2 linked regions of the Daphnia pulex genome follow. The protein of the gene in region 2 interacts with the protein of the main gene of each other region in a biochemical or structural test. Links are inferred from orthologs where the notes say so. Each region holds a gene or a part of one and is shown on either strand. Other genes may lie near its edges. The genes, in order: uncharacterized protein F21D5.5-like and DNA repair protein XRCC1-like.

Evidence for each region.
Region 1: the proteins of DNA repair protein XRCC1-like (region 2) and uncharacterized protein F21D5.5-like form a complex in vitro, tested with the Homo sapiens proteins (3 studies listed by BioGRID and IntAct, with this or other methods). The link is inferred for Daphnia pulex from reciprocal best matches to the Homo sapiens genes XRCC1 and PNKP.

The regions. Positions count from the first base shown.
Region 1 is NC_060020.1:4,604,822-4,621,042, forward strand, and holds uncharacterized protein F21D5.5-like, read right to left. Parts: upstream 10,561-16,221; 5' UTR 10,550-10,560; coding exon 10,315-10,549; intron 10,252-10,314; coding exon 9,836-10,251; intron 9,777-9,835; coding exon 9,459-9,776; intron 9,392-9,458; coding exon 9,113-9,391; intron 8,474-9,112; coding exon 8,186-8,473; intron 7,919-8,185; coding exon 7,857-7,918; intron 7,790-7,856; coding exon 7,666-7,789; 3' UTR 7,636-7,665; downstream 1-7,635. Other genes in the region: syntaxin-16-like, read left to right, coding at 866-946, 1,005-1,253, 1,317-1,485, 1,763-1,989, 2,073-2,282; oxidative stress-induced growth inhibitor 1-like, read right to left, coding at 3,002-3,475, 3,539-3,829, 3,955-4,293, 4,758-4,928, 5,010-5,173, 5,254-5,380. UniProt on the Homo sapiens protein: Plays a key role in the repair of DNA damage, functioning as part of both the non-homologous end-joining (NHEJ) and base excision repair (BER) pathways.
Region 2 is NC_060028.1:2,108,891-2,125,033, reverse strand, and holds DNA repair protein XRCC1-like, read right to left. Parts: upstream 8,655-16,143; 5' UTR 8,535-8,654; coding exon 8,484-8,534; intron 8,203-8,483; coding exon 8,005-8,202; intron 7,944-8,004; coding exon 7,711-7,943; intron 7,642-7,710; coding exon 7,505-7,641; intron 7,445-7,504; coding exon 7,044-7,444; intron 6,972-7,043; coding exon 6,796-6,971; intron 6,727-6,795; coding exon 6,613-6,726; intron 6,544-6,612; coding exon 6,277-6,543; intron 6,212-6,276; coding exon 6,074-6,211; intron 6,011-6,073; coding exon 5,935-6,010; exon of another isoform or gene 5,862-5,934; coding exon 5,748-5,861; 3' UTR 5,723-5,747; downstream 1-5,722. Other genes in the region: nematocyst expressed protein 3-like, read right to left, coding at 1-37, 119-180, 290-307; uncharacterized protein LOC124209391, read right to left, coding at 1,535-1,976, 2,098-2,150, 2,245-2,262; acid phosphatase type 7-like, read left to right, coding at 4,092-4,230, 4,309-4,512, 4,576-5,203, 5,264-5,435, 5,504-5,689; dopamine D2-like receptor, read left to right, coding at 15,860-16,143. UniProt on the Homo sapiens protein: Scaffold protein involved in DNA single-strand break repair by mediating the assembly of DNA break repair protein complexes. Negatively regulates ADP-ribosyltransferase activity of PARP1 during base-excision repair in order to prevent excessive PARP1 activity.

The sequences.
Region 1 (16,221 bases), on a different chromosome or scaffold from region 2:
CATGTGACGAAAGCTACAAGCTGTACAGGTAGCAAACAAACCTGCAAGTAAAGAAAACCACCTGCCAGCTGTCTGCAACAGCAACAACTTCGTGTGCATGTGGGACTGAGAGGCTCAGACCTTAAAAGGCTGTATTCCTACTTGGAGAAAAAATCCCTAAACACACTGAAATATTTAGCCACCTGGTGACAGCCCTAAGCATCCACGGACGACGGGAGTCAATACATGCTCACTGTAGCCTACACCTGCGTCTGCGTTATAATTACGGATTGCACTAACACTAAGTCTATAATGATTAAACATTTAAACCCTACATCGTAATCTACTGTATGCAAAAATAGTGATGCCGTATTGGTATAATAAACTTTGTAATGTTCACTTTACTATAAGCAATGGCATACCATAGCAATTACTTTAACCATTACATAGCTGTCTGGCATTTGCGTTAGCATTACTACTTCTTTACTCTCACATAAAAAATTTTCATGAAATGTGCTAGGAATGGCTTAATAGTTAATACTATGGTGAATATTAATGAATTGTTTGAAACTAAAAAAAAAAAAAAAAAAACACGCGCTCTTTTACTTCCATCTAGTGGCTGCTGATGACACCAAAACTTTTCTTCATACTAAATGTGCCACGAAATGTCAAAATCAGCTGTACAAGGATCGAGTCCATCGATTTAAAATTGTCAAAATCAAAATCTGGCATTTAAAAAATAAAGTTTCAGTGCAATATCTATTATCCAAATCAATGTTTTCAATTGTGATGTGTACGATTTAGATTTTTCTTGTGAAAATTTAGATCACGTACATCTTAATATCGATGATTCAACCCCAATATCGACTGAAAGTTCACATAGAAAATGGCAACACGAAGTATCACTGAAATTTTCATTCTGATGCGTAACAATGCTATTCAAAGTCGCAATTTTTACTCTGAACAAGTGAGTGACTCATTTTGACTTTTGAAATTACTGGTAATTGGTAATGGTTTGCTTTTAGAGCATATCAGACACGGATTCCTTGGTCCGTCATGAAATAGATGTTCACGGCAAGAGTCATGCCACTCATGTAAGGATTCCTCCAGAATGGACAGACAGCTTAGAAGAGGCTCAGTACACCTTGACAAAAATTCAAACTCGACTAAAAGAGTTGAGCTCTCTTCAAAACAAACATCTTCTTAAGCCCACATTTGATGACTCGATGAATGAAGAGCAGCAGATTGATGCCTTTACTCAAGACATAACCAAAGTATTACAGATTAGAATTAATTAAATTGTTTAAAACTTCAATCCTTCTTTGTTTATTCTGAAGATGTTTACCACCTGCCACAATTGCATAAAAAGGATTCAGTACAATAGTACTAGTCCTAGTCTGGGGCAGGCAGAAGCAAATCTTGCCAAAAATGTGGTCACATCTTTGGTAACAACATTACAAAATCTATCAAACACCTTCAGGAGTGACCAGAATGCATATCTGAACAGTTCAGTTCTTATTCATTTATTTCTTTTACAAAGTATAGCACATTCCAGTCACAGTCAAAGCCAGTCACAGCACTTTTATCATGTCAATATTACTTATTCTAAGTGATAAGTAATCATTACTCATCAGTCATCTTCATTTCTTTATCACACAAGAATGTAGTTTCAAATCTCTGATTTGTATTTTGTTGCACCTAGATAATAGTTTAAAAATCAATTAACCAATTCGTAACAAAAATGTAAATTCATGTATATACTTATTTGCCCACTGCCCAACAGAAATTAAATCACGCGAGGAACGTTCTCAACAATTTTTTGGTGGAACTTCCTCCAAGGATTGGAATTATGATGACTGGACCAATACTAGCAGCCAAACCGAAACTCCGCGAGTGATGAGCCAGCAGCAATTGATGTTGCAGGAAGAAAATTCGTCTTTCGTTGAACAGCGCGAGAAGGAAATTCAAAATGTGGTCCGTTCGATATACGAACTGAATTCGATATTTAAAGTAATTTCTTTGACACTTTGAAGCATTGCAACATTATTTCATTATGGTGTAACTTATTTTTGTTCATTTTCTTAAATCTGCAGGAAATCTCTCACATGGTCGCGGATCAAGGTACCGTTTTGGATAGAATAGACTACAATATTGAGCATACACAAGCTAAAGTTCACGACGGTTTGGTTCATCTGCAAAAAGCTGATAATTATCAAAAGAAAAATCGGAAGATGGTATGCATTGTCGGTTTGGTTTCCACCATCATCCTTCTAATCATTATTTTAATTGCTGTTAAATCTTGAGTAAATAGAAAATCTAATTTCTGTTCAAGTTTTCCATGTGTGTATTGAACTGCTGGAAATGTACGTGTTTAAATGCTGCATAGTATATGTTTTACAAGTTCAAAACACTTGAATTTTCTAAGGTGTTGTAACTTTAATATGAAGTGTACATTTTCAATTACAGTCGCAATATTAGCTACCCCTCTCGTCACCAACTAGGGCCAAAAACACATTGGTCGTCCTTAGTATTGACATGCAAAAACAAATTACAGAACGTTAAAACCGCTCTTGTTTCGCACCCCTAAAGCTATAGTCCTGGAAACAATCAAATTCCTTTTGGAAATGTTTTCAGTAAGGACACGCGTAACGTATAGCACCGTAACGATGCCATTTAAGACATAAGCTCTACTTATCAGCAGTAAATTCATAAAGAAAATCAACAATAGATATTCAAATTTCTCAACGAAAGCTTCTTAAAAAATGAGAGTAGTAGAAAACGAAGTTTAGAGAGAGGAGAAGGCACAACGAAGACTAGCAGAGCACTCGTTGAAGTGGAGGTGTAATAGGGTGGTGATTCGGACTTATTTCTCAAAGATGAAAACCGTGTTTCGTGATATTTACAATAGATTGTATCAATAACCGCTGATACAAATGAGGGGACTAAAAGCGCCTTTGATTCGCAAAAGTTCAATATTAGGAACGCTTTTAATACCCCCGGTAAAACTAAATGGCGATCAACGTCACGCCGGGCAATCAAGGTAGTTGACGGATTCTTGAGGGACATGAAGGATGGGCGGATTTGACACTTCTTCTTTCCTCTCCAATGGACAGGATTTCAAATGAATATCTCTCGTGATAGCTAAGGCGCCTCCTTGGGCGAAACGGACAAAATTATCTGAGACCAAGGGCCCCATAGCGTACAACCCAGGTTGCTTGGTGGATTCGAGCGTGAATAGATCGACATCAAGCGGGTTATTACGACATGAGATAGGTTTGGTCACGTCGACCGTTAAATCACGTCCTTTATTTTCAAGGAAACTTAAACTAGGTCGAGAGCCTATTAATACCACGACGTAAGAAACTTTGATTCGAGTGGAGCACTCTGGTCCTTGCAGACAGACTTTTCCATCATTTTGAATACGCACCACTTGGCTCTGCTCCATCGGAGTGTATCCTGAGTAAGTCATTCCGTTGTCTTTCATCATCTGATAGACCTGATAATTAAACAAATCAAAAATGAAATGATGTCAACTCAATCAGAAATTGAGAAAAATTACCTTGTGGTACTCAGGGTACATGTTGGAAGGAAGCTGGCCAAAGATAAGGCTAGGATCGGTAGCCTTGCGTCGAAACGCGTGAATGATGGGAATTCCATGAAAGTGTGCGGCAATTATAGCATCCGCTGCAGACAAGCCAGCCCCAACAATGAGAACCGGTTCACTCCGACTGTTCAATTGCTGACTGGAAATAAGTTGTTCCATCGCTTGTAAGGATTTGACGACAAAGGGCAGATTTTCACCGGCCACGTTCATACGATTAGGGCGATCAGAACCACCAATGGCTAAGACCTATTATTTCAAATAGAAAATCATTATCAACATTCCTAAAACTAATAGTGAAATTGGCTAATTCAATAGCCAGATATTTTCACTCTCGTACTTATAATTATAAAGTAGATTATAACAGAACATACCACGTTTGGAGTCAAATATTGAAAATCTTCCAGTCCTTCAGCTGTCCGGATGTGACCCGTCACTTGCCAAAGTCCACGATCATTGTTCTCGTTTGAGCCATTTTTTAATTGATCTACACGACGAACCGAAGTGACTTCCGCTGAGTCGCGGAAGTAGGGGCGCAATCCTTTGATATCAACGTAATCGTGATAATATCGAGCCACGTTCTTAACCGAGGCTCGTTTCTGACGACTCCCAAGTTGCCGATCGCAAACACTTTCTTCCCATTCTCGAAAGCTCAAGTTAGCCAGTTCCATCCACGTTCCTCTGCTGATAGTCAAAACGTCTCCCTCCATTGCCTATACAAAAAAATAGGGGAAAAATACAATGAAAAAACGGCCATACACGTTTTTTTAAAAAAAGATCGGCCTTGATGCAATAATGCCTGTGGCAATACCATAGTTTCTCTTTTCTAGAGTCGAGAGGAAATCGAGAGAAATGAGTTTCTACAGTAATTATAGGGTTTGTCCTTGTACCAGAATCAAGGCTAAGGTCGAAACAGTATTGCATTTCCTCCAACGCTCATATGTGTTTCCATGTAAACAATTTTTTAAGTGTAAACAACAAACAAGGCCCATTACATAATAATAATTTTGATTATTGTCGTATCGGCGTACGGTAACTACGCACCATTAAAGTCCAAGATGGATGAAATATTTTTCAGATTGAGAAAAAAATTGAAGGTTCAAATCTAAACGTACGTGTTGCTAAGCTATTTTACAATCTAAGAAAGGGAAGGAGTGAGATAAATTGATAAACGCACCTGCCACGATCCCCCCGGGGGACCTCTGCCAAGAACCACGTGATCGAGAGCATGCTCGGGATGGTTCTTCCATGCAAGAAGTGATGGTAGATCTTGACCTGTGTCTGCATCTGGGTGATTCAGAATGTCGTATAAAAGAGCAACCGGATTGCTCGACCGCCCTTCCAGTCCCTAGCGTTCCAAATAGAAATGTTACCAGAGAACTACATAACCAAAAACAAAATAATAATAATAATAATCTTCATCTCTTACTTCTGATAATTCTTTCAGATCTTGAAGAACCAACGGGCAGTTGGGTTTCGATTCCAATCTGTAGTGAAGAAAGTCTGGTGGATGCCCCATCTCGTCCATGCCCTTATAATAGGGCCAATGGCCGGACAAGAGATAAGACAGAGTAATAGCTGAAGGTCCGTTACCTAGAAAAGGGTTATCTCAGCTTTTATTCAACGAATTCACATTGTGCTAGAACATCAGTAAACGTTTGGAAATAAATTACCGACGACGACAACGTCTTTGGTTATGGTCTTGACTGACGTTTCGATATCGACAGATCGAGTATCCGCAACTGCTTGGCGCGATCGTCTTGAACCCGTTAATGGGCAGCGAATGGATTTGGTGCGCATGGTCCTGTTGCTAGGTGAACAAATCGTTAGAATGCATTGTGTTTTCTAATAAACCATCGATAGCAATTATGGGAGGATAAGAATTAGCGTCATTAGTCGAGCAAAGCGAAGGCTTAATTCGCACCGCAACTGTGCAGAAAATATGATGGTCATCACTTTGATTAACACAAGACCTTCAAGTGAAGCTTTCGCTCGAGGGAGGGAATTACCCGCAGATACCTCTCGGTAAAAGGGCGGTTGCAATCAGGAAAAGGTTTTTAGACACAATGTCACATATGGATAGAATTAAGGGAATGTTGAAATAAAAGTTTTGAATTTTCTCCTTGAAATGCATGGAAATCGAAGACTAACTGATTGAAATTCAACTCAGATATTTGCCCAATTAATTAAAAGAGGTTTTCCCTTAGGATCAAATGAAAATACAATAATAACTGGAAACTTAAAAAATAAATTAGAAAAACTAAAAACATGGCATTGCAATATTTGCTTAAAGAACAATTTTCGGAAGCTGATTCGAAAATGAACCCATTCAACCATGTACAAATAATTGCCCGTGTGAAATGAATATTCTAGAAATAAGAGAAGGTTGAAAGAGTAACCTGCAGAGTAACCTGCCGACTCCTATTTAAGTAAACGTGACTGCATTTAATTTCAAATAAGTTTTCCCGCAAAACGGGGCAGATCGAATCAACATCAGTCGTCGAGCAAAATCGATACATTTCATTGCATAAGTCTTCCACAGACATAATGCTATCGCAAATGCACATCTTAGAAGAAAGGAAATGGAAGGGTAAACCAAAGTCTTATCTTACCTTTGTTTTCGAGGTTTATCCACGAGTATTTTGATTGTGATGTATTGCTTTCACGAGTAGAGAAGGATCACTGGTTGAAACTTTCGAATGTCTTTACAGTTTTAAAGTGGAAACAGTGCAACAGCAACACACCAAAAACCGGGCAAGTGTGTCTGTGTTAGAAGCCGGTGGAGACTCGTACGAGAGGGGAGAACATGTGGAGACAGGGGGATCGTGAAGGCGGGACCGTCAGGCTCCTCCCTTAACGAGATAAGTCTTTCTTTTCAAAAAAGAAAAAAAGAGTATGAAGTGTATACGTTTACGACCGAATGTAGTAACGTAGACTGTGGTTGTAGCTCGTGTGCTGTATTGCCCTTGGCGACTCTGCCGCCTACATTCTTTCATGGATCCGATAGCCTGCCAAAACTCCCTTAAAAGGGATCTTTAGTTAATTCTGAGAGCTCGTGGCACCTCAAAAAAACGGGGAAGAATGAACTGTCATGCGCCGTAAATAGCGTCTGCCTTTACCGCTTTCTGGCTAGAGACATCTGCTGAGTACAGTTCAACCTAAATGCGTCTGAGGATGGCGCATCCGCTCTGCTGTCGTGGCGGCCGATCACCTGGCGCCGTTTCAGGAAATAAATATTGCAATCTTGGATAAGTTGCGAGCTTGTGTTGACTGGGGTTCACAGTATTGAAAAATGAAGGACTAGGGGATATTTTTAGTAAACAACGCTTAGCCTCACAATGAAGTGGATGCAGGGCCAAATTTTGTTGTAAATAAAAAATAACCCAATGGGAAACGTTGCGACGGGCTGGAGGACAGGTGACGCGGACTGATGCGTGATTGGCTGGTTGTAGTGGCGCCGGCCTTCTAGCCCTCGTTGTCCTGGGCTCGATCGTTAGGGCTCGTCTAAACATTACCCGCCTCCAAGTACGTCATACGATTAGGACATGTTAATGGCCAGACGACCAGAATAAAAGCGTCGAGTCATGTGGTATCAGCAAAATGTAAAAATATTGCCAAAACATTCGGTAATATTAGCACATCATTACTCACATCGACGGACATATCCGCGCTGGAAGGACAATCTTTTTAGGACACTTGAACAATTTTATCCCTTTGAATTTATAAATTCCGAGCGGTTTTCGACTGACCTTGAAAACATTTTTAACATGCGGTGTTCACGTGAGCACATTCTTTTGAGTTACGAGTGACAGAACAAATCTACATGCCGTCAGAAATACTGTGCGCGAGTTCGTCACGTTCGCGTTATCCTTAAAAAAATCAATTTGACACCGTACTTGGAGAGTTCTCAATGGCCTATACTAAACAAATTCTTTGCTCTGAAATGAGAGCAGCAAAACGCCGAGTCATTTTTTGCATGAATTGATTAGGCATGCACTATAGGATATTAAAATTCCAGAGAAATGAAAATATATATATATATAGTAATACCGACATTAATGAAAATCCATTTACTAGAAACATCCTTAATCTTCAAGAAGATACATTTTGTAAAGACGCTCATCTTCGGCAGAACGGAACTTGGGTTGGAAGTTGACACGGACAATTTGACTGAATCCTTCGTCTAAACTTGGTTCCTGGTACTTTGATCTTGAACGGAGTCAAAGCAAACAATAGAGCTATCTCAGTTTGGAATATTTAGATTTTTAAAAATTACTTGTGTACGTTGAAGATCATTCGAGAAACAGGGACGTGCTTCGCATCAGTTAGTTCTCGAAACTGCGAGAAAAAAATTCTTTGAATATCGGGCGTGTCGAATGTCACGTAAGAGGATTTTCATTGATAAATTTAACTAAGTCAAGGTTTTAGATGGCAAACAGTTCCTGATGATTTTAAGATTTCTCAAGACTTTGCATTTTACGTCGCAATTTGAACAGGCAAAGTCAATAAAGCTATCTATAAGGATCTCAATTTGTGTACATGCACACTAACGTTATCAATGAAAGGCTGAGAAAGAAGAAGATTGATTCAAAATTTTTCAATTACCTTGTTGTTATGTAAGGCATGCGTCATGGTGGTGTTCATCACAAAACAGCGGCAAGGTAGCCCTCTAGTTGAAGCCAGTCGAACGAAACGGGAACGTGATTCCTTATCCGGGTTGGTATTATCGATCAATACACTCTTACCGGCGTCGAGACATTTTTCTACGGCTGCTGCACATTTCTGCCAAGTGCCTAAGGAGTCACGGTTGATAACATCATAACTTGACTGAAGCGCGTGTTGTTCTGCGAAATGACTTTTGCCAGATCCCGGAAACCCAACCAGTAGAATGACCTAACGAAAAATAAGAATCAGTCCAACTGCGAATAACTTTTTTGCTAACATGTGAAGATAACGTGGGAAAAACGGGACTAAAGAATCAGTTACACTTATAACCAAAAATGATTGACTTTCGTTGCATCTCTTTACCAATTTCAGACTCAATAGAATTGAATAGAAAGAAATCCTTGAGAAAAAAAAAAAAAAGATAATGAAAAAAATAGTAAACCAATAAAAATAATATGAAGAACTAGAACCTCCCGGTTCGGTTCCCGAGAACACATTCATCGAATACTTAAGAGGTGACGCAAAAATAGTAAATGGAAAAATAAATTGCGCGTCCCAAATCGCTGCCAAAGAAAACTTACAAATATGCACGTGTAGCAGTGTAGCACGAACGTCAAGATGACACACAAGATTAATCAATTTCTTAGCTAGAACTTTTAAATAGTCGGCGAAATCATTTAGTCCCTAATGTCAAACAGTAAATATTGACGAAATTCTTACACTTCGAGATTCAAGAAAGTTAATGGCAAGGTTTATGTTGAGATTTGTAATTAACTTTCCCTCACCCTAAATTAAAGGTGATTTCTTAAAAATGATGTTTTTCAACGGGAATTTGTTTCATTATTGACTCTATATTGAATACCTTACTTCTTGCTTTTTCTGGAACAGGGGGGCGTCCGAAGGTTCCAAAAGAGGAACTGATGCGTCCACATTACGGGGTTCAAAATCTGGTTGTTTATGCGGAACCGATCGGTGTCCCAAGAAAAATTCTTCGGGCGTGTAAAATTTCAAACCGACGTTGATGGCTAAAAGACGGTCGACAGACGAATGATCCTTTTTCTTCCCTGGCGCCCATTTGGCCTCGCGCCCAGCTGCATCACCGCAATAAAAAGACGATTCCAGCTCAATTGGGACGGAACCGTTTGCCTACAAATAACAGAAAATATTACAGATCCAAATATTAAGATACATCTGATAGTAAATATGTTTTCACTTTATCTGTAAGGTATATCCACATTCCGGTAGAGGGTTTCCTGTATTTTCCCGAACCGGATGAGATAAAAACTTGGATTGGAACTCCCAACTTTGAACGGATATCACAGAGTTTCTTTCGAAAATCTAACGGTTTGAGCTTTCCGTTACTTAATCCGGCTTGGTTAGTGATGAAAACAATTTTAAATCCATCTTCTATTAATTTTTTAAGTTTGCCAGGAACCTGACTGAAATTTAGCTTCCAGTCTTGGCAATTTGTTGGAAATACTTTCCCAGATTGAGTTGTGATGATGGTTCCATCCAAATCAAAGGCTGCAATCTAAATGAATAAAAAGAAATAATTAAACAGTTCGAAAGACTTAAAATATATTTGAATACTTTTGATTTGTGCTGCACTCCATCACTTGTGAATATAATCAGTTTGCCATTGTCAATCTCCTCCCATGTATCTTCCATTTTCTGCTTTTTTGCCAAGAAACTGGGGTCTTGGACATCTTCTTCAGCAGATGTTGATTTCCTCTTTGTTGTTATAAAATTATTAAGAGTTGTCTGCTTCCCCACCATTATTTCTTCAGAACTTGATGAGCTTGTTACTGATGACGGGACTTGATTTGGATCTGGACTAAATTCCACACGAAATGGAAATTGCTTTTCAAGTAACTCTATAATTTCTCCATGTTTAAGCTGAACAGATTCATCTTTAGCTTTTAGTATTGAGGTTCCAGCTTTGCAAGCATTGGCTCCAATCAGCTTAACACTCAGCAACCCCTTTTCACAGTCTGCTACCAGCTTGACTGTGAATTGAAAATTGAATGAAATGCATCTTGTTTTGAACTTGTTTTGGATTGCAATAGTACCGTGATTTCGAGAAAGTCTCGGATCTTTAATCCTTGTCAAGGGCCCTCTTCCAATCACCAAAGGCTTACAGTGCTCAATCTGGATGGATACGTAATCCGGATCGCATGACACTATTTTACAAGAAAACATTAGCACTTGTAGGAAATCTTTTAATGAAAACCGATAATGAATGAACAAAATGGAAATTAGTTGACGTTTTAAAATTGGAAGAAAAGACGAAAATGTGCTAACCATTGAAGAAATTGATATTATATCCGTCAGGTGGCAGTTAAGTAGTTCCTTTCCGACTGACAGATGGCGTTGGGTAGTCGATTTTCAAGAAAAAGCCGGCGCGCGACCCGACCGTTTTCGAAACCTAAATTGACGGGAGTGAACGTAAAAATTTCCCGCGATCATTGTAATGTAAATAATTTCCTAACCACAAGTATCACAAGAAACCAAATAAAACAGTGAGAAAAAAGAAAAGAGTCGTTAATACAAGCGCGCATATTCTATTTTTTGGGTTTTTTGTATCGCAAAATAAAAAAAGAGAGAACAGGAGAACCCAAATGTATGTATGGATTGATGGCGATGAAACGATCGAATGCGACGAGCCCTAGGCCAAAACCATGCAGCAGTCGGGTGGAGAATGTTACTCATCCGACCGCAGACTTGGCGGTGGCGGTGGGTGTTGGTATCGAACAAATTTTCGTATCGGGCAATCCAGCAATAACTCAAAACATAATGGGAACATCAGCTCTTTGAGTCAGTCCCCCCCCTTCTCGACCCACACAGCCCCGAAAAGATCCCCCTACTATACTCTTCTCCCAACATACTACACGCAACACAGACACATGCACGAGTCTTTGGCTGGTTGGCGCTCTTATCTTTTTTCTACTTCTTTTTCTTTCCCTTCATTTCCTTTTTTCTATATATATAAATGCTGTGTGTGCCACATTATTATGAATGTGATGGGCCTGGTCGGACGAGCCGTTGGAAGACTGCTTTACGACTGTTTCTCTCCTCTTCTTCTTTCTCTCTCTTTTTTTTCCCGTTTTCTCGGCGGGCTGTATAATGGTGAGACGGCCGACATCGACCGCTGGCAGGGCAGCAGCAGCAGCAGCGAACGTGCACGTCACATCATCTCTGCCTCCATTTTTATAGCCGTTGCGTTTTCATAATATTGATGGAGGTGGAAGGAGAGGGGGGGGGGAGAAGGTTTCCCGCACCTTGAGGCACGTTGATGAATTGACCGCGCCCCACTAAACTATCGACCAATAAAACAAAAATAGGCAAAACACCTGCGCCCAATATCGCTCTCATCCGAACACAAAAAATGTTCCAACTTTCCTCCTGCCATTCTTTTCCTCCTGTCTCGATTAAACGTCGGGAAATAAAAATGAAAAAACGAAAATAATTCGACTCAAAATATAAACCCTGCCCTGTATCCATCGTCGTTCGGGTTGTAAAAAAAAACAAACCAAATGGCATCAGAGAAGAACAAAAAGCTAACAAAAAACGAAAAAAAGAATTTGATGAATTAAAAAACAAAACAAAAAAACATTTGTAGAAGATGGCGATGAAGAAGATTTAGAGACGATGGCGCATATTGTTGGAGATGTTGTTCTTAATTGGACGAGACAGAAAAGAAGTGTAGAGGATATGCTGCATCGAGCATTTGAGAATCAGCTCTATAAAGTTTGGAGATGGAAAGCTCTCCGCCGCCGCCGCCACCGCCGCCGCCGCCAGCATGTACTACACTCTCTCTGTGCGAGATGCACGTCCATTAGACACTCTGAGACAGACCCATCGAACTGTTGGGACGAATCTCATATTAGATAGGGCGGCTCACGCAGACACAGACACAGTCATAGCGGTCTGACACGGAAGGTGTTAATTGAGTTTGGCCCTGCTCATTTGGTCGTCGTTTGGCTAACGAACCAACGGCGGAGAGGCTGAGTCGTATATACACCATACAGAATGAGATTGAGAAACACACACAACAGTTTTCTCTCTCCAGTGGTGAACTCTCCTTTCTTCCTTCTTCTTCATCCCCCATCTCTTCATCTTTCCCCCCTCAGTTTCTTCTCCCGAATATTCTTTATTATGATGATATTTTTGTTTTTCTCCCCTCTCTCACTCTCCAGCTCCAACTCCGGCCCGACCAAGTTGATTAAAAATCCAATGACTTATGGATGGGAGCCGGTAGATGTCATGTGGCCCCGTGCGATGCCCAATGATCCTCGAAAGCATCAGCTGCTATTCCGTCGATTTATCGGGCGTTTATCGTTCTGATAGCGCCCCACCAACACCACTGGTGTATATACCACCACCACCACCATTCACAGCCGCTCCTGCTGGCTCCTAGCTGCCTTTATTTCTAATAGTCAATGCTCGGCTGCTGCCTGTATGGCATTTATATATGCCCCAACCAATTCTTAGCTCTATCTCTTTTTTTCCATTTTTGTTTATTATTGGATATCCCTAATTCTCTTTTTTTTTCTTTATTTCTCTCTGGCCAGCAGTCTCCCTTCATTTCGTCTTTCCATCAAAATACATCAAGTGAAATTTTCGTCGGGCGTCATCGCGCCAGATATTTCCAGCCGATAGACACAAGGAAAGAGAAATTTGTTTTGAGAGAAGAAGTTTTCTGTGGCGAGTTCAATGAGGAGCCTCCGCGTTTCTATCCGGCAGTCGTAAAAAGACGTGTGTGTGTGTCTTGTGTGTACGTATAGATATTTATAGATGAAATACGTCGAAATGCAAATTCGGGCGAGAATAAGGAGAGAGGATGGAAGACTCTTTTTTTGGCCTGTCCCGACAATCATCCCAGAGGCTAAAAGCCCCGGCATTTATTCGTCCAACCGCAATTTCTTGACTTGGATGATTATTTCTTTTCAAATAGCAAATAGCCTATACTATATACATACGTACCATCACGCGCATATCTATATGCATATAGGAAAAAAAAAAGAAATAAGAAATCCTCCTAGAAAATAAAAGAGGAAAACAATAAATAATATATAAATACATCGGAGAATAATAATAAAAAAAGAAAAAAAACAAGGAGGGAAGAAAGAAAAAGAACATAAAAAGAACAAGGGAAAAAACAGTTATAAATGAAGCGCGCAGGCCGTACTTTGAATGCTCCTTGATTTATTTACGACTCTTTGGAGGAGAAGCTTTTTTTTTACTTTTCGGGCAACAGCGGGAGCAGAAGCAGCAGCTCATCATCAACAGAAGCGAAACAACAGCAGCAGCAGCAGCAAAGAAGCAGCCCAAACTAAACAAAAAGGAGAAGCGACTGACCGGTTGATGGCTGCGGTGCGAGTCGAAGAAAAGGTGCGAATAAACTGTCAGCATTCGGTGATTTCCAGCTCGACCGCAACAACAACAAACGACGACAAAGAGAAAGAAATCAATCCACATTTACGGCGCAAAAGATTTGTCAAGTTGGTTTGATGGACAATTGAGCGCATCATTAGATAGAACACATCCGCACAACTGATAAAGCGGTGGGCTCATTCCAAATATGAATAAGGGAGGTGGTGGCGTTATTATATTCCAACACCGTCCAGTTGCTTTGTCTTTGTCGTTTTTCTTCCCGACCGTCCCAACAGCTCGTCGTTATTTCTCGTGGTCGATTGCGTCTAGTCGCGTGATGACGTGGCGCTGTTTTGAAAGAAAAAAAAACAAACTTCTTTTTGATTCCTTTTCGCCTTTTACGGTAGTCCCCCCTTTAACACATTGAGAAGCCGAACGCGGGCCAGGCCAGCAGCGAGAGATGAAGACAAATAAAAAGGAAGAAAACCTGATTAGCGGTTGGAAATTGTGCGCTAGACAAAGTCTCCCTACAGCGCAGAACAGAACAGAACAGAACAGACAGAGAGGTGGATCCGTACAATAATTCACAGCGTGACGACCGCTGTCTCTCCATTGGTCTGATTAGCGATCCTGGGCCAAAGCGGAGAGGCAGCAGCGCCGTGCTCAAGATGATTGTGGAAAACCGAAAGGTAATATGTATAAATACAAGGGCCGGGTAGTATATGTGTGTGTGTCTACACACAGCAGAGAGCGGACGGACCAGGTGATGATGATGATTAAGAAAAGGCCTCTGGCAGCTAGCTAGCTCAACAGTCGTATATCTAATATGAGGCTGTGTGTGTGGAACAGTTGGGCGAAGGAGAAAGAATTAAAAGGGGGGCGGCCAGCGAGGAGGGATGTGTCGGGTCCGGGATTTTTCTTTTTCTCTCGGTCGAAATGAAGTCGGGATGTGTTCTCTTTTTTGAACTAATAAAAGGTAAGAAAAAAAAGGCGCCAGTTTGAAATGTGTTTTTTTAAGAAAGAAAAGCGGACGAGAGGGCCTGTACACAAATTTTTCGGGAGGGGGCAGGCCGCCATCCGTGAGGAGGGGGGTTCTTCTGCCGTGTGCCGTGCGTCTATGATAGCTTTTTATTTTTTTTTTTCTCTCTCCCGAACAACTCCAAATGATGAATGCCGGTTAATTATAGAAGCAGAGAAGAGGATAATGCGCCTGTCTTTGCATTTTCTGGCTGTCTACGTCCTGTGTGTAAGAGAGAGAAAGGCCAAAAGGGGGAGGAGGGATAGGCGAGTGCTGTGCTATACATCGCCTTTTCGGAGAAGAAGAACGGCCGCGGTTGGTTAAATTAAGGCCAAACTTTGTAGACACCGAAGGATGTGTACAGCGCAGGTGAATTATTATCGCCACGAAGATTGAATTCAATACTACATATCTACGCTAGCGCTAGATATATACAACATGCACGAATTTCTCTCTCTCTCTCGCCGTCTATAGCTCCTTTTTGTGTTATATAACTTCCATCTTTCTCATTCGTTTTTTACTTGTTTCTCTCTCTCTCTCTCTGCTGGCTGTCGCCGGGCACCAAGGCCGACGAGCCCGTAAATAAACGCCTTCCATCAAGCGTTATTAAATGGAAGAAAATTGCTGCCATAAAACGTAACAAGACTTGTGTGAGGATCAAATGTTAATCAACCTATTCTATTTTCAAGTTTTGCCTTTTTTTTCTTTCTTTTTCTTTTTCGGACTTGAAATGTATTTTCTCATTTCCCTATATACTATTTTTATTCCTCTCTTCAGATATATAAAACTTGTTGGTTGATTATGAAGGGAAAACACGAAATGACGCAGAAGGTGAGTGGGAGGAGGGTGTCGATAAATATCCGTCAAAGTCGCTCGCCGGATTCTTATTCTCTCGCCAGTAGAAAGTTGTACTCCGAGGACGACAGATATATGATTGAAAAAAACAAAAAACAAAAGAAAAACCTCCCCAAAAAATCGGCCGAATTTGATGTTCACGAAAGAGAAGAAAAAAAAAGTGCCACCCCGACGTCGTCGTCGGTAAAATGTCGACTTGGTTTGAGCGCGCGAGGCAGCGTGAGAGATTTGCGGCTTTCGTGTGCTTTATGAACGACTGCGCGTGATGCGTGAGCGAAAAAAAACAACAGAAGAAGAAGAATAAAAAGAGAAACAGCCGAGAGAGAGAGAGATGAGTTTGCGGTTGTGCGTCTACATTATATACATCAAACATGTTCGAACAGACAGAAGAAAAAATAAATAAACAAAAAAGCAACAACAACAACAAGCGAAAGGAGAAATAATAATCATAATTTCCTGCCGGCTGACGCTAATCAAAACCGCGCGCTCGCCTTCGGTTGGATTGATTCGAATTCGTTATCTATGACCGTCGTGCCGGAATAATATCTCGCCCACAGTATGTCTATGTATAATGTGCGTGTGTGTGTTATTTCTCGCTCGAGTTTTTCATCCCCCCCCCCTTCCACCAAATGTCACATGATAAATCAGTCGGGCTCCGATTCGTAATTTTGAATGGGGGGCGTGTTCGTTACAAGGATCCATAAGGCGTTCCTCCTCTGGTCGGTAGTAT
Region 2 (16,143 bases):
AGGAGCAGCAGCTGCTGGTTGGCTTCCCCACGCTGATCTATTCACATTTCACGAACACAATTTTGTATAAGTATAGACTTAAATATTGAATATTGTTTTATTAAAGAATTAAACGTACTGTTGGGTCCTGTATGATGAAGCTGAGCAGCTAGCTGCCATCACGACGCACAAGGCAAGGATCTTTAAGTATAAAATTAAATATTTTAATACATTAATTCGGATTGCAGTTGAACAAAATCAAACTAAAAGTAAACAATTCAAAAATTTGAATCAAATAATAAATACTTACAGTTTTGAATGAATTCATTTTAAGTTGAAAGGTGAGGGTTTGAGTAGACTGAACTTGAGACTGCTGGAGTTGCTGGAGATGAAGTGAGTATCGAACTTGAAATTGCAGATGGTTTTTATACTCGGAAGATGTGCCTAAACGACCTTGGAAATGCATTTCCACGCTGCTGTGTAGACAGGAACCAGCCGAAAGAAAAAAAAAAGGTGAGAGGAAATTGACCTATTTTGAAAAGGTGAGAGAAAATGAACTTTCACAAACGTAGGCTTTGTATACAGTTACCATGGGCACTCATTTCGTTATCGTAATAAACCCAACACTATGCTGTACCCTCTCCCCTTATGTTTACCCCCTATAAGAAAATCAGGCTGTACCTGCCCATCGATACAAAAGGAAAACAGCAGACGGCCGAGAGATGTAGCGTCCGATTAACATGTTGAAAGGCTGCGTTATACAAAAAAACTTTGTTAAATGGAAAATGTTAGTTTAACCAAGAGTTTAACCTTAATTCAACTTGAAAAAAAATATGTTTTCCCCTTTAGGCCTACTCCTTTGCCGGTAGAATCACTCTCATATGCATCAAATGTCTCAAATGTTTTATTTTCTTCAAATTAAAACAGCGCTGATTATTTATTGTTATTACGGTTTATTTCGGGATTAATTTGGTAGCGGAAAAGGCCTCTGAATAAATGTAATTTTTTAAATTGATTGCTTGACGCTAAAAGTTGCGTTTGTACTATATATCTGCCAATTTCAGCCCTGTATAATTTCATGTAGTCATCTCCTATTGGCCAGACCTCATATAATACCTTTTCAATCGCTAGTACTTTAGATTTTTTAAAAATGAGTTTGGTAGCTACGACAACTTTAGGCTACTCTACAGACTTTACCCTAGACACAGTTAATATTTTTCGCTGATAGATTTTTCATTTAAATTTCACTACCGTTATCGCAGCGTATCGCAGCATTATGTTTTCCACTTTAATTTTTTAAAATGGTGATACTATACTTCCATCATTTTTGAATTTATTACTGATTTTGTTTTCATCTGTCTATAGTTATGCGTACATTTAAAAACAGAACGTAGCTACGAAATTTCCATTATAAACCGTCAGTCTTTTTTCGAAGTATTTGTCGACAGTATAGAACCTGCGTGAAAGAGCTGGCATTGATTCAAAAATTCAAGATACGATATTTTTTCAAACGCGTTTAAAGTTTATTGAAGTCTAGAGGCAGTCTGAAAATATTTTAGTACCCAGTGACCTTGTTGCTCATGGCATAGGCGGGCTTAACAAATTGGTCAGAAGCACTGGGGCCTTGTTCAATAGGGGCAGCAGTGGTCAAATAAGAGCCAGCACTTTGAGCAGGAGCCTGTTGCTGCTGGGAGAAGGATTGCTGGGCAGCAGGAGCTGACTGTTGTTCAACTGCGGAGGATGAAGTGCTGGAAGGTTGCTGGTATTTTTCGATCATACCAGCGGCAGTAGACTCGGAGACGGCTGTGCAAGTGCAGAGGTGTTGAGAAATGGTAGGGAAGGCGCTGGCAGGGAAATTGATGTGAGTTGGAGCCGATGGAGCAGCAGGAGCAACAGGAGAACCGATGCTGGAAGCAGACGCATCTTCCGGGCCAGTTGTGTTGGGAACCAAGGGACTGCTTGCCGGTTGGTTCATCCAACTATTTGGCTTACCAGATCTACAAAATTAGACAACGAATGTAAGGATCAGTATACACGAATGCAAATATTTTTATTCAAATTTACAGCCAGCACAAATGAATTTGGATTTTGGATTTGTAGAACATAAAAATGACTTACTGGGTATATTGGCCTGAACATACCGCTGCCATAACAGAGCACACGACAATCATCTGTATACAGAATTTCATAATAACAATTAATGTGCACCCGTATAAAAAGAAAAATAATGCACGAAATAAATGTTGGCTTTAAAAATGTACTTACTACTTTAAAGGTATTCATTTTCTTTGTATGGATGTAAAAAGGAGAGTAGCGGAAATTGGACGTTGTTCCTGATTGAACGCTATTGGCAGCTTGATGCCAAAATGGAAACTACCTCGACCTTATATACTGTTGACGTAGGCTGGTTACCAAGCCAAGTTTCTTGATCCTGACGACCTTCAACTCAAATTTTGTTGTCGTGTTCCAGACACGTATAGGAGAAAGCCTGTGTGCGAATCGGAAAATAGGTCAAGTAAATCATATGAAAATATCAGATTATTGCTGCTTCTATCAAAACAGATTTCACGGGATTTAAAATTGTCAACAGAATTCAGATAAATAAGGAAGCCGTCAGCGGAAAAATTGAGCTAAATGATGCTTCTGTAATAGTATAAGTATTGGTCCTGTTGTGCATTTCCGTTTAATGCAATTCCAAATATACAATTTAAACTTAATTCCTCAGCCTTGAAATATTCTAGGTCTATAGGGTTTATACTTTCACTTTTTTAAACGTCTAGAAACAAGGTCAGACATGTGAAAAGAATTTCAATGTATACCTGAGAATCAAAAAAAAAGGTAGGTCAGGTCGCCCTAAAACTTTATACCTGGTTCCAAAGAAGAAAATATAATAAGAGTTTCGAAGGTGCCAGAAGGGCCACTGTGAGAGGAATCCCCAGCACATCCGGTTTAATGTCAAGTACCGCAATATAACTCGCATATTCTATCATTATGCTGTATATTGATAAAAAAATATTTTCTGTGACATTAAATGTATTGAATAACTCTATTATAATGAATTGTAATGAATAGGCCTACAACTTAAAAAAATATATTTGATTGAAATGATTGAAAATTGATTTCTTAACATAGAGTTCATGGAATCTTTTACATTAGGCCTATATGAACTATGAAGGAAACTTATTTTCACCTAATGGGGGGTAAACTATTTAGGTGAAGCGTGATTTCTAAAAATAAATTTCGCCCAACGTGGGGCTCGAACCCACGACCCTGAGATTAAGAGTCTCATGCTCTACCGACTGAGCTAGCCAGGCTTACCTCAGCCGGCATTACATTTTAATAATATGTAATGAGTGAATTTAGAGCGTCACGCACTTTCTTCTGATTGTCTAGTTGATGATTTAGTTAGGGTTTCACTGGTAAGATAGACCTAGAGGAGTAATTTTTCAACATTTGCTTATTTTCCCTGTTTATTTTATTGGTTATTAACGCTTCATAGGATGATGAACTATGTATTGGTAACTTTTTATGTTTCCCTCCTGTGATTAGACATCATATAGACCGTTACGAACATGTTATAGTTCGGTAGGCAACATTAATGTTGCCACAGATTTGTTCCATCAGGCATCAACGAAAAAAGTACGTGATTTCAAGACGAGGTATAACGTTTCATAACACTTTATTTCCAAAAATGCATATCATATTATCTTATTATGGTTCAAGTCTTCCATTCCATTTCCTTGGCAATTTTATTAATCAAGATGACCTGTAATGTAAAAGAGTACAGTATCATGTTTCATGGTTCATGGCGGGCGTTTTAAAGGATTGAAGTTCCTATATTTACCACAAGAGGGTGTACATGTTTAGTAAACAAAAGACAGGTGCCTGTCACGAAACCTCTGTGTTAAATGTTTAAAAAATAGTGTTCAATGCTGCTCATTCCTTTATGGGTTATTTTTTGACTTTGCGAACTAAAAGTTTCAGAGGTGACTAAGAGCAAGAATTTGCGCAGTATTTAACAATTTCGTTCGTGTTGTTTGAAGTTCTTTCGACTTACTGCTGTAAAAAGTACTATAGCCTACACCTGAATCACCTGAATCACTCAGTTTTGCATGATGAACATAAAAGAAATGCATTTTTTAATTAAAATATCCATTCTGTCCAATGTTTTGTTAACCACTGCTTTACAGATTGATACCACCCACATTTATTATGATGTCCAACCACAACAAATTCATTTATCTTTCTCAGGTATAGACATGATTATGAACATTTTGTGCTATGTGCCTATGTACAATTTTTTCAAATAATCACTGAAATTTGAATTAGATGAACCTGTTGATCTCATTGTTACATGGAACACCATCAACAGTACAAATGAAACAAGTGTTGTGGAATATGGAATTGTTGAGAATCGTTTAACAGAAACAGCCACAGGGAGTGCAACTGAGTTTATCAATGGAGGGCTGGCAAAGCGGAAACAATTTGTACACAGAGTGAAGCTCTCAGGGTTGTCGCCTAAACAAAAATACTGTAATCTTCGGATTTTCCATATCTCTTAGGTTAAGCAGTTTTCAAATGTTTTTCTTTCATTAGTTTATCGATGTGGGAGTCGTCTGGGGTGGTCCAATTTGTTCAGTTTCGTTACGGTGGAAAATTCAACCGACTGGTCCCCAAGACTTGCTGTGTACGGCGATATGGGCTCGGAAAATCCTCAGTCACTTTCGCGCCTGCAAAAAGAGTCGCAAGAAGGGCGCTACGATGCTATATTCCACGTTGGCGATTTCGGATACGATTTGTATGAAGAAGACGGACAACTCGGCGACCGATTTATGCGTCAAATCGAACCGATTGCCGCGTACGTTCCTTACATGACCTCGGTCGGAAATCACGAAGAGAAGTACAACTTCAGCCATTACAAAGCGCGATTCTCTATGCCGGGAAGCGAAAATGGATTAATGTACAGTTTTAACCTTGGACCAGCGCATATTATTTCCATCTCGACCGAATTTTACTATTTCATCAACTACGGTTTTAAGCAGATCGTTTTACAGTACGATTGGCTGATTCGCGATCTAGAAGAGGCCAACGCTCCTGAAAATCTTAGCGTCCGACCGTGGATAATAGTAATGGGCCATCGTCCAATGTATTGCTCAAATACAGATCAAGACGACTGTACAAAGAAAGATACTCTTACTCGGGTCGGGCTCCCTTTGTTTCACTGGTAATCGAATGCGTGCTATCATGTCAAATAATAATTCTAAATAATGTAGTGTTTTTATAGGTTCGCTTTGGAGCCGCTCCTCTACAAGTATGGAGTTGACCTGGCCTTGTGGGCTCACGAGCACTCGTACGAACGACTTTGGCCCATATTCAACCGTACGGTAATGAATGGAAGCTTGGAGCATCCCTATACTAACCCTAAAGCTCCAGTTCACGTGACAACTGGATCAGCGGTAGGAGAGATATGCTGGAAAATATTTAACTTTGCACACCGCATTTATCAAAAATATTAAAATTTCAGGGTTGTCGAGAAGAACGGGATGACTTTATTCCAGAATTACCCTATTGGTCGGCCTTTCGCAGCAACGACTACGGTTATTCCCGATTATTTCTCGCAAACAAAACTCATTTACATTTGGAACAAGTGTCCGATGATCAAAACGGTCTGGTGATTGACGATTTTTGGTTAATCAAAGATCTCGTATAGTTTAACTCCTCATTAGCATAAACGAAGACATCGTTCTGTTTTAAAATACCTTTATTATTCATTTCGTTTGTTGCACCAAGAATTCATCGAGAGCAACTAATTTGTTATTTTTTCTGCATGTCCGTATCCAATCACTTTTGACAATTTTCATGTCTTGGTTTTTCGACAGCGCCTTAAAAATAATGAATAATCCAAGACCCGACTTTAGTAATCTTTTATGAACAGAATAAATAAACTGCATTTACCTTGGCGACTGAATCATCGTCAGGATCGTCGGATATAAAGTGAGAAACCTTTGATTTAATTTTCGGCACTAATTTACTGTTTGAGAAAAATACGTTATTTGTCAAAAAGGAACATAAGAAATTTAATTAATGGTAGTACCCTTGACATTCTTTTATATAGAGCGTTAGGTCCTCTTTCACTTCTTCGGACAAATCTTTGCCCAGATAAAAGTTCAAATTAGCGTAAATGTTTGAATCTTCCAAAGTCTGCTGTTGTTCTTTAATTTTCTTCTTGATCCTATTTCAAACAATTATGTGCGTTAGCCATTATAAATTCGAAAAGAGTGTGTGAGATGAGCCTACATATCGATTTCATCTTCCGTGTCGACTTCGTCAACTTCAGTCGACCCGCCGTAGTCTTCTTCTTCTTCGTCCTTGACGACACTAGTTTTAGGACTCGCCACCACAGTGGTAGGCTTACAACTGGCTGCTACAGTTGGCGATTGGGGTACTACAGTTGCTGCTTTACTGGTTTGGGGTGTAGGGGTCGGACATGTCGGCCCCTGGTCCTCTCCTTCCCAAATTTCTTCTTCGCTTTCTTCTCCTCTGTCATTTTTATCTAAACAATAACTATTTAAAAAGACAAATTATTACAATCCAAGCGATAGAAAAATAAACCACATTGGTAATGATTTTTACCGTCTCCATGGTAATCTTTTTCGTTTGTCGAAACAATCTTGAACCCAATTTTTGGTAACTATTTTGCCTTTACCCTTAACTTCAATGAACTTTGGTGTGTTGTAAAAGGCACATCTATAATCAAATGAATAAAGAATAATAAGCGCATGACTCTACGTCAAAAATTTGTTTTGTAAAATATACATCAAATGCGTACAAGACGCGTTCCATTCCGGTTTATAGGTGGCACCTAAGGCCAGCAGTTTATCTCGCAGTTGACCCCGTAAAGGATTTTGAAAACCACTAAGGACCACCACGACGCCTTCCAATAGGCGATTAAAAGGTTTGGTCGTCCGTTGCTTTTTCGCTAAGCGCTGCGTCTATAGATCGGCATTCAAAAGATGTGATAGTACGACTCATAATTTGAAAGGTTGAATTATAAATGTTTATACGTCAACTGATGGAGAAGGTGGTGGTGTTTTCCTTTTAACTGGTCCTTCAACTCTCTTCGATTCATGAAGGGGGGAATGTCTTGGTTTGCTTTCTTGCATTTTTTTACTCAACGATTTTTTAGCTGGTGGAGTGATGGGCGGCGCAACTGGTCTCGGCCGATCAGATTCCACTTGCTTGCGACTAGGTAATGGCGAATGTTGATCGACTTTGGCAGCAGTAGGTGTTTTAGATACTGTGGGACTTCGAGTCTGCAACGTTTTAAGCTTATCTGTCAATTTGATATCTGGTCTGCTGCCGTCCTTGTTAGGGGAGTGTCTCAAAATGGTCAAGGCCTCTTTCTCACTCTGTGCTAGGGCAGCAGAGGCAAGACTTTGAGATGCAGCACGGATTGCACCAGGCTCTATTTAAATAAAAAAAATCATTATCATGGTATGAAAACAAATTAGACAGCAATAATTACGAGTGCTGGGCGAGGTGCTGATCGACGACTTGAACCGAGAGAACAAACTGCCTTGTTTGATGGGGTCAACAATTGATTCTTCGGACCTAAGTTTAAACATGCCAAGATCTATGCTGTTTGCTGCTTTCACGCTAGCACTAAGGTGATTAAGATTCATTTAATAGGATACATTATTGGTATGACATGTGGCAATATTTGTGGCTTACTTATTGTTGGTTTTATTAGCTGACTCTTCTTCTGGAGCATGAACTGTAAGGAAGGAAATTCCATACTGAAGCTGTTTGTTGAACGGTTGAGTGCAAACAACCCGAACGCGATCCCATTTTTCAGCTTGGGTGGCCTTGTTCAAATCTTGGTGTTTGAAAATCCGTACACGCTGGAGATTTGTTTCGTTTCGACACTCTTGAGGTGTCATAAAAGAGGCTGAATTCAAAAGAACCTAATACATGTGTACAACTTTTACATTAAATAATACAATTATTTTAAAGTGTAATGTCTACCTTGTAGTCTTCATCGGAACAACCACTTCTACCAACTAAAATTTCAATGAATGCAGAACCATGGTTTCCTATGTCAACAGCTGAAATGAAGGATGTTTTCTCTAACTGAAATTCAACCCACGCTTTCTGCTCTCCAGCAGATTTGCACCTCCATTTCCTGTACACTCCATCTTTAATGAGGTTTTCTGTTGGCTGATTCTGTAAAAAAAAAATCTTTATCATTTTCCATAGTGCACAGAGTTGTGCAAATTGTAAGAATCGTTGTGACTATTTTATCTTCTTCTAGTGAAAGTCTTCATCGTTGAAATTAAATAGATTTCTATACTGCCAGTCACAACTATGGAATACTAAGTTCACCAAAATAGCAGTAGAAGTGTCAAGAGTAATTTGTGAAAATCACCCTGGTTCGATAAACCAAACGTCAAAACAACTATCACTTGCGACTTTATACAATGAAAATCACAATTTTGTTAACATACCGGATCTTCGCTACTGAAACTCACAACACGAGTAAATTTTATGGGCGCCATAGACAAAACAACGACGCTGAACAAATGTTAAGAAAATCAAAACTGGAATACAAATTTCAACGACTTTTTAACTTGGCACGTGTATCGTCGGAAGTTGATTTGTCCAATGTTTGCAGCTGCACTATACGTTTTATTCTCTGGCGGCTTTGGGGCTAGAAGACGGCCTGAATAATTTGGAAGATTTCTTATTCTGAGTCGTCGCACCCTGAGCGATTCAGATTTTATTAGAATAATAATTTATTCCCCCATTTTAAAAGTTGTGATCATTCAATTTTCCCTACATTTTATTTTTATTATATATGGAAAGTCGGCTGCTCCTGGGTCCTGTTTAAAAAACCCGCCAACAGAGCGCGTTGGCTTGCAAACGGACATTGTAAAATGCATTCAGCGCGCGTATTCAATATGCATTGAACACAACACCAGATTCAGAATCCAAACAAAAATCGCTGGGTTTTTTTTCTACGCTGGTCTTTTTTAAAAAGGTTAACAGCGTCCTATAGTGGATAATGGCCTATTTTAGGTTATCCTTTTATTTATTATTACTGATGCCTGATGACAAGTCGAAAATAAACCGACAATAACTCATCGACATCAGCAGAGATCAATCTTTTACGACAACAGAAATGAATAAAAATAAGTCTGCAAATAAAATCTACACATTAAACGTTTAAGTCAATTTCAATTCCAACTGGAAATATATACGTTCTGGCGGTTCAATGTTTAAACTACCAAATTGATTAATGTCCACTAAATTTATTATTTTCTTTTCTCTTAACCATTCATGATGCTGGAGAGAAGGGGGAGGGATGTCATCGATTTTAGCTCATTTAATTTCTATTACGGCTTAGCTGGCGCATTAATTTATCAACGTGGTACTCCGACAACGAAGTTTATATTACAAGGACAACGTCAACAGCCAGAGTGCAAAGCATTTTGTGCAAGTGATATTTTTAATTTGTTTTTTTTTCTAATTCGACCGTTTCTCGCTCCTTGGATACCGAAAGAAAAGCCGAGGAGAAGAAAACCATATTACGTCTCGCCTTTATTAATAGGTGATTCCCCAGAAAAAACAAAAAAAATAAAACAGCCACAGCATCGCCCAGTATCAACTGGAACATTTTCCGGCGTTAGTAGTATTGACACCTCCACGCTCTTTTCCTCCCTTCTTTATATTGTATTTACAAGGCCCACGCAGCAGCAAGCAACCCAGCTCTTTCCAAGGATGAACATGGCTACATTATATATATAGTATAGGCTTTTAATTTCTCCTATATATGTCTTATTTCGCTATACAGCCAAAGAATCGAGGTTGCGCACAGAGAATATTAAGGAATGTATTTTTTAGATTTCCCTTCCGAAAAAACTTTTCTTTTAACTCTCCTCGATCCTGCTGACTACATGTATAAATACACAGGCTATATTATATAAACTGCACTCACTGCAGGCATATACACACACATTTCATGTACAATATATATGTATTAGGCTTCCGGCAGCTTTGTATACCTATGTACGAGCCACTTCAATTTCTTATAGTCTCTTTCTATTTCATTCTCCATTCTATTTTGTTTCCTCTTGTATTATTCCTAAGATTCCCCCCCCCCAAAATACAACAAAGACACAATCAGCAGCACCTACCGTCTATATAGGCTATATGCATGGTGTATAGTCTAAAACTTTGTTCATCGTTGCTTGGTGTCGATAAATATCCCGGCAATCTATCTAATATTCTATGTGGGGCTTCGTTGTCATACAAAGTAAAATGATGAAGAGATCTCTAGATATTATGCTCACGCGTCTATAATATATATCCCATCTCTCTTTTTCCAACCCATTGAGACTCTGTGTGTGTCTAGAGTTTTCCTTGTCCCAGCATGAATATAGACAGTATATATAGACCATGAATAGGGCGCTTTAATGAGCTTCTGCTACAAGCACTGTCAACTATACTTCTCTTACCAGAAATGCACCGCGCCTTTATGTCGGTGATAATATACAGTCTCAAAAGTATTGTTTTGGTACTATACGTTCAAAGTATCATCAGACGACACACTATACAAGATACTTGTTTATTATACGTCTGCAGGGGGGAAAATACGTCGAGGCTTTGCTCGAACGAAACTTATTGGTAGACGAATCTGAACTTTCCCAGCAGCACAGAGGCGCTTTCTTGCACTCAGCAAAGATCTATATAAGAAAGTGGCATGATATAACATGAACTTATACAAGCACCGTATGTATATATATGTAAATACGGCTATATAGCTATATAACTGAATGTTCGTATACTAGATTGGAAAAGTTTGGTTTTTTTTATTTAGGTTTGGCAAAAGTGCCATTTTATATACTTTCAAATCGCTCGAGGCCGCACAGCATGCATGTGCGCCGCGGTGCTCAACAAATCATTTCATTCCCTTTATATTATATTTCTATATAATTATATGTTCGTGGCATTTTATTTACGTCGTGCTATACATAATTATCTAATCTTCTTTACTATTAAAAAGAGACTGTCGTGTGTAGGCTATAATTAATTGTCCCATTTCACGCAACACATAGCAGGTTCATGTGTGGCTGTATAACACTCGTTTTAATATGCGCGTGGTGCGCAACACTTATAGCGAACGCGAATAAACTTTCGGGGTAAAACACAGGATGTAATGTTGTGTTAATATCAAATCGGTCCACGGCCCGTGATGTAACATTTTCTAGAATAAAGTTGTGCTGCGCTGATGGGCGCATCATATACATAATTCACGCAGCAAGATAGAAAAGTTAACGCTTTGGAGAATCCCTTACGGAAAAATCTCATCAAACTATATGAGAAATCATATGTTTATTAATGACATCAATGATTTTTTAATAATTTTTGATGATCTCATATATTTCTCATTAAATTGATGAGAATTTTCACCCTCATATTTATCATTAAAAGTGTTTAAAATATTTTTGTCTCATTTTATATGAGATATAACCCAGAAATCAGAAAGAAATCATATAAATTTCATGATTTTACCACAGACTTTTCGCATGAGAAATATGCAAGAAACTGGTGATAAATAACCATAAATATCATGATATTTTCTTAAAATAAATCAGTAATATATCATGTATTCTCAGTTTTTAATCATTAATTTCAATTGGTATTTTGTAATGAGATACTTGTATAAAATCATGTGGAAATCAATAAAATGTCATGATTTTCCCGCAGTTTTTTCGCATAAAAGATCTGCAAAAAATCAGTGATTATTAAGCAGGAATATCATGATATTTTCTTAAAATCAGTAAGTAATTTGTCATAAATTCTGAGTTTTTAATCATTAATTTCTATTGGTATTTTGTAATGAGATACTTGTATAAATTCATGTGAAAATCAATAAAATCTCATGATTTTTCCACAGTTTTTTCGCATGAAAAATCTGCAAAAAAACAGTGATTATTAAGCGGGAATATCATGATATATTCTTATAATAAATCAATATTTTATCATATTCTGAGTTATCAATCATTAATTTCTATTGATGTTTTGTGTTGAGATACTTGTATAAAATCATGTGAAAATCAATTTTACCTATGACATTATAAGATTTTTTTGGTTTTCTTTTATACAGTTTTTTGGCTTTTAAAAAAATCACGAAATTTATTATTAAATGTCTATCAGAAATCAAGTAGATTTAGGTGTGAGATCATGATATTTAATTATAATTATTTTGCATATTATCATTTATTAAGAGCTTTTTATCAATCATTTCTCTAATGCTTTATAGTGAGATTTTTCATTAAATCATGTGAAAATCAGTTCCCAGTAAGGAATCAAAAGATTTTTTTGGTATTATTTTTACCCAATTTTGGGCTTTAAAATCTTCAAATTCATAACAAAAAGACAGTAATAATCAGCTACAATTCAACAGATCAGATGTGAAATTATAACTATTTAATCGTCAATATTTTCTTATGTTTTGTAATGATGTGTGAAAAATCAAGGGAAAATTTCTACATATATGACATCAAAATATTTTCTTGTATTCTTTTAATACAATCCTTAAAATATCAGTTAAAATCAGCAAATAATTATATAGGCCTACCTGGAATGAAATATTCTGACTTTAAATTCTTTTTGAACTTTTACATTTTTTATTTTATACCTTTCGTAAATATATGGTAGCTATCTAATTCTCACAAAAATTACACGATGTTTTTATAATCACAAGATAGGCTGGGATAACTATTTTTTTTAACGCGCTAAGTAAATTTGAGTGAAAGTTCTATTTTACTCTGGTGTGTTTTTTTGTGTGTGAATTATTCTAAGTCCCGAAATCTGGCTTTTATCTAACTAAACTAACCAATTGATTATATGGTATGTCAAAACGCATCATAGAAATTTTTACTAAGTTTTTTCACGCGCTAAGTAAATTTGAGTGCAATTTCTATTTGACTCTAGTATGTGTTTTTTATGTAAATTATTCTAAGTCCCATAACCCTGTTGTTATATCACTAAACTAACCAATTTATTAATTTCTACGTTAAAAAGCTTCTATCATAATATCAATTGGTAGTGTAGTGGTTAGCAGATTGGCAAGCCACCCTGGAAGTCGAGGTTCGATTCCTGGTCAGGGCAATTCTTTTTTCAATTTATATAATTAAAATCTCATTTAAAAGCGCTCAAATTCTCATTCAAATTTTAGTGAGAAAATCATTAACATTTTTGTGGAAAAAGAGAAATTAAGCGAGATTACAGTAAACCCTCAGTCAGAAATCATTATGTTTACGCGACTAATCATTTATATTTAGATGAGAAATAACATAATTCTCCCTTTGTTCACATGAAATTAATGATTAACGGCTGATTTTAAACTTGAAAATGTCCCAAATTCTCATCAAAAGTCATCAAATAAATGATATTTTGCTGTTAATCTCACCAAAATATCACGACAAAATGAATGAGAATTAAGGTTATTCTCATGTATTTCTTTATGAGTTTTAATGAGATTTTTCCGTAAGGGATATAATAATATAAGGTCTTTTACACGCTGCTGCTGCTGCTGTATATATCTAGAGTATTTATCTGCTGTATATAGTGCTGTGGGTGGGGGCTTAAGTCCTTTGATGGGGTCGGTTATATCTACGTAGATGTGTGTAAGCCGGGCGAGAGAAAAAAAAACAAACAAAAACGGGCACAGCCACATTTCATTAGACACAAACCTCTCCCCCCTTGCATTCGCGTTTTGTTTCAGCCCTTTTTCCCAGCACTATTATATACGCTCTCGTCGGTACACCTCGTCCCTTTGCGTGGTACATAACACACGAGTACTATTACTATAGCGCTTACTACAGCAGCGTCAGCTCTATACAGCATATAATATAGATAGGCCGCGTGACAAACGCCGGCACTTGAGGCTTTTTTTTTTTACTCCAGACCACACCCACACACCTTTTGGATAGGATAGGACAACCCGCAGCAGCAGCGGTGTATGTAGCCCACCCACAACGTTCGACAATTGTTGCTTTGATTCATCGTTCATCATCATCGCGCCAGCAGCACACACAACACACCGGCAGCAGCCAATAATAGCTAATTGAAAAGACTCGGATGGCTGAATCAGATATAGATTTTCTATAGTCCGCCAGCAGCAGATTATATATACTCACGTAGTAGGCCTACATCAGTCGATTTTCTGTAATCATTTATACTATATAGGTATACTGAAATCGATGATCCGCCATTTGAAAAATGATAGTATTACATACATACATATTAGCGAATAACCGGCCTATTATATACGAGCTTCAAAAAGTATCAAATATTTTGATGATTGGGGGCTGATCCTTTAAATATACAAATGCATCTAACAGCCAGCAGCCCTATATATATTATTCGGGCTAAATAGCAGCGAACAACGTGATGCTTTAATATCGTTTATTGAAAGTTGCCCACAACCGAGTTGAATCCAGCATCATCCAGATGAATCCTGTTATATACATGGACTATATATACACAACGATATACAAGTCAAACACAAGACATATTAAGTATAACTCAGGTAACAGTGTTATATCGATGTAAAGAGCACTTATTTTATATATTTTTTTAAAAAATAAAATGATGATATGTACACAGAGCAGCACACCGTTGCATAGTTGTGTCGCTGATGGACTGATGTGAGCAGCGCTCCCTTGTGTACAATATGTCTCTCTCTCTTTCTCTAGTAGTTGTTATAGTCGCGCGATGATGCATCTCGAAAACATTCTGGCTATGTGCTGCTGTGTGCGCGATGGTGATGTGTGTTGCGCATGTGTGTCGTCCTTTTCCACAGCGCCAGCACAGCGCAGCCAAAAGGTATATGTGTATAACTATACTGTGCACGGTATCAAAGACTATAGACGCACTGCACTACGGAGCATCCGCCCAGCCCATCAGCCCAGCGCCCAGCAGTGCCCAAAGGAAACAGCGCAGCACGGACGCCCCCAGCAGCAGCAGAAAAAAACGGACTGGGTTGGCGATGGCACAAGATAAAGGACTCAGTGTCGGTCGTGTCCCAAGTGCAGTCGGTTTACACCGTCTCTGATTATATACCGCGCGCTATTTCTCTATTATATTCGTTCGTCATCAGCACAGAGTGTCGATATAGTCGTGTCAAAATTTATTTTTATTTTTTCATTTTAAAATTTATTTTTTGGTCGATTAGTTTTGATTATTTTTGCATTCGAAATTGAACCCAAATCGAATTTTCGGGTGAAAAAGGAAGAGAGAGTGTTCATTTTCAACCTGTGGGGAAAGAGAAAGAAAAGTGGTGTGCTGGAAATTCGGTTCGAAATATGGATGTGTGCTGCTGTGTGCGCTGTGTGTGATGTGTGCTGTGTGTGTGCGATGTATTAGGTTTGATAACCGACAATCTTTGCATAGAGTTTGAGCGCTGCTGGGGGCCACGCAGCAGGACAGGACAGGATCAATCGCTTCTATACATTTGATGCTGGCGCTCCCGAGAAATATAATATTAGATGATGCTGCTGAGATGAGTTCGATCGCTCGCCAGTTGCTGCTGGCTCCAGCTCCGTTTAACGGCGACGAGATCGCACGAGATTTCAGTCGACAACTCGTCGCATCAGCAGCAACAACAACCACCGATGACTTGAAAGACGCGCCGAGTGCTCCTGCAGCCGTTTAATAGGCGACCAATCAAAATTTCCGACAAATTTCATCACAAAAATCGTTTCAATTTAATTTTTTTGTTTTTTAGTTTTTTATTGGGCGGGGTTTTTTATTTTGATTTGATTCGTGGGCAATAATTGGATATAAATATTAAAAAAGTGATTTGATAATAAAAATGGAGGCGGTGTCGACGGTGATGGCGGCGGCGGCTGCGTTGACGGACAGCAGCACGGCGACGTCGGCCGTCGTGCCGGTGACGACGGCGTCCAGCATCATCACCAAGCGCTACTCGGCCAAATTGGCCAGGATTCAAGGCTACGTCGTGCGGGGCGTGACGGCGGCCAATAAACCGCCGCCGTCGTCGGCCGACGGCCAGCAGGCCTCCACCAGCATTAGCGGCTCTTTGGGATTCAATACCAAGCGGAGCGCTTTGCGGCTAGTACGGCCCACCGTCGCCGG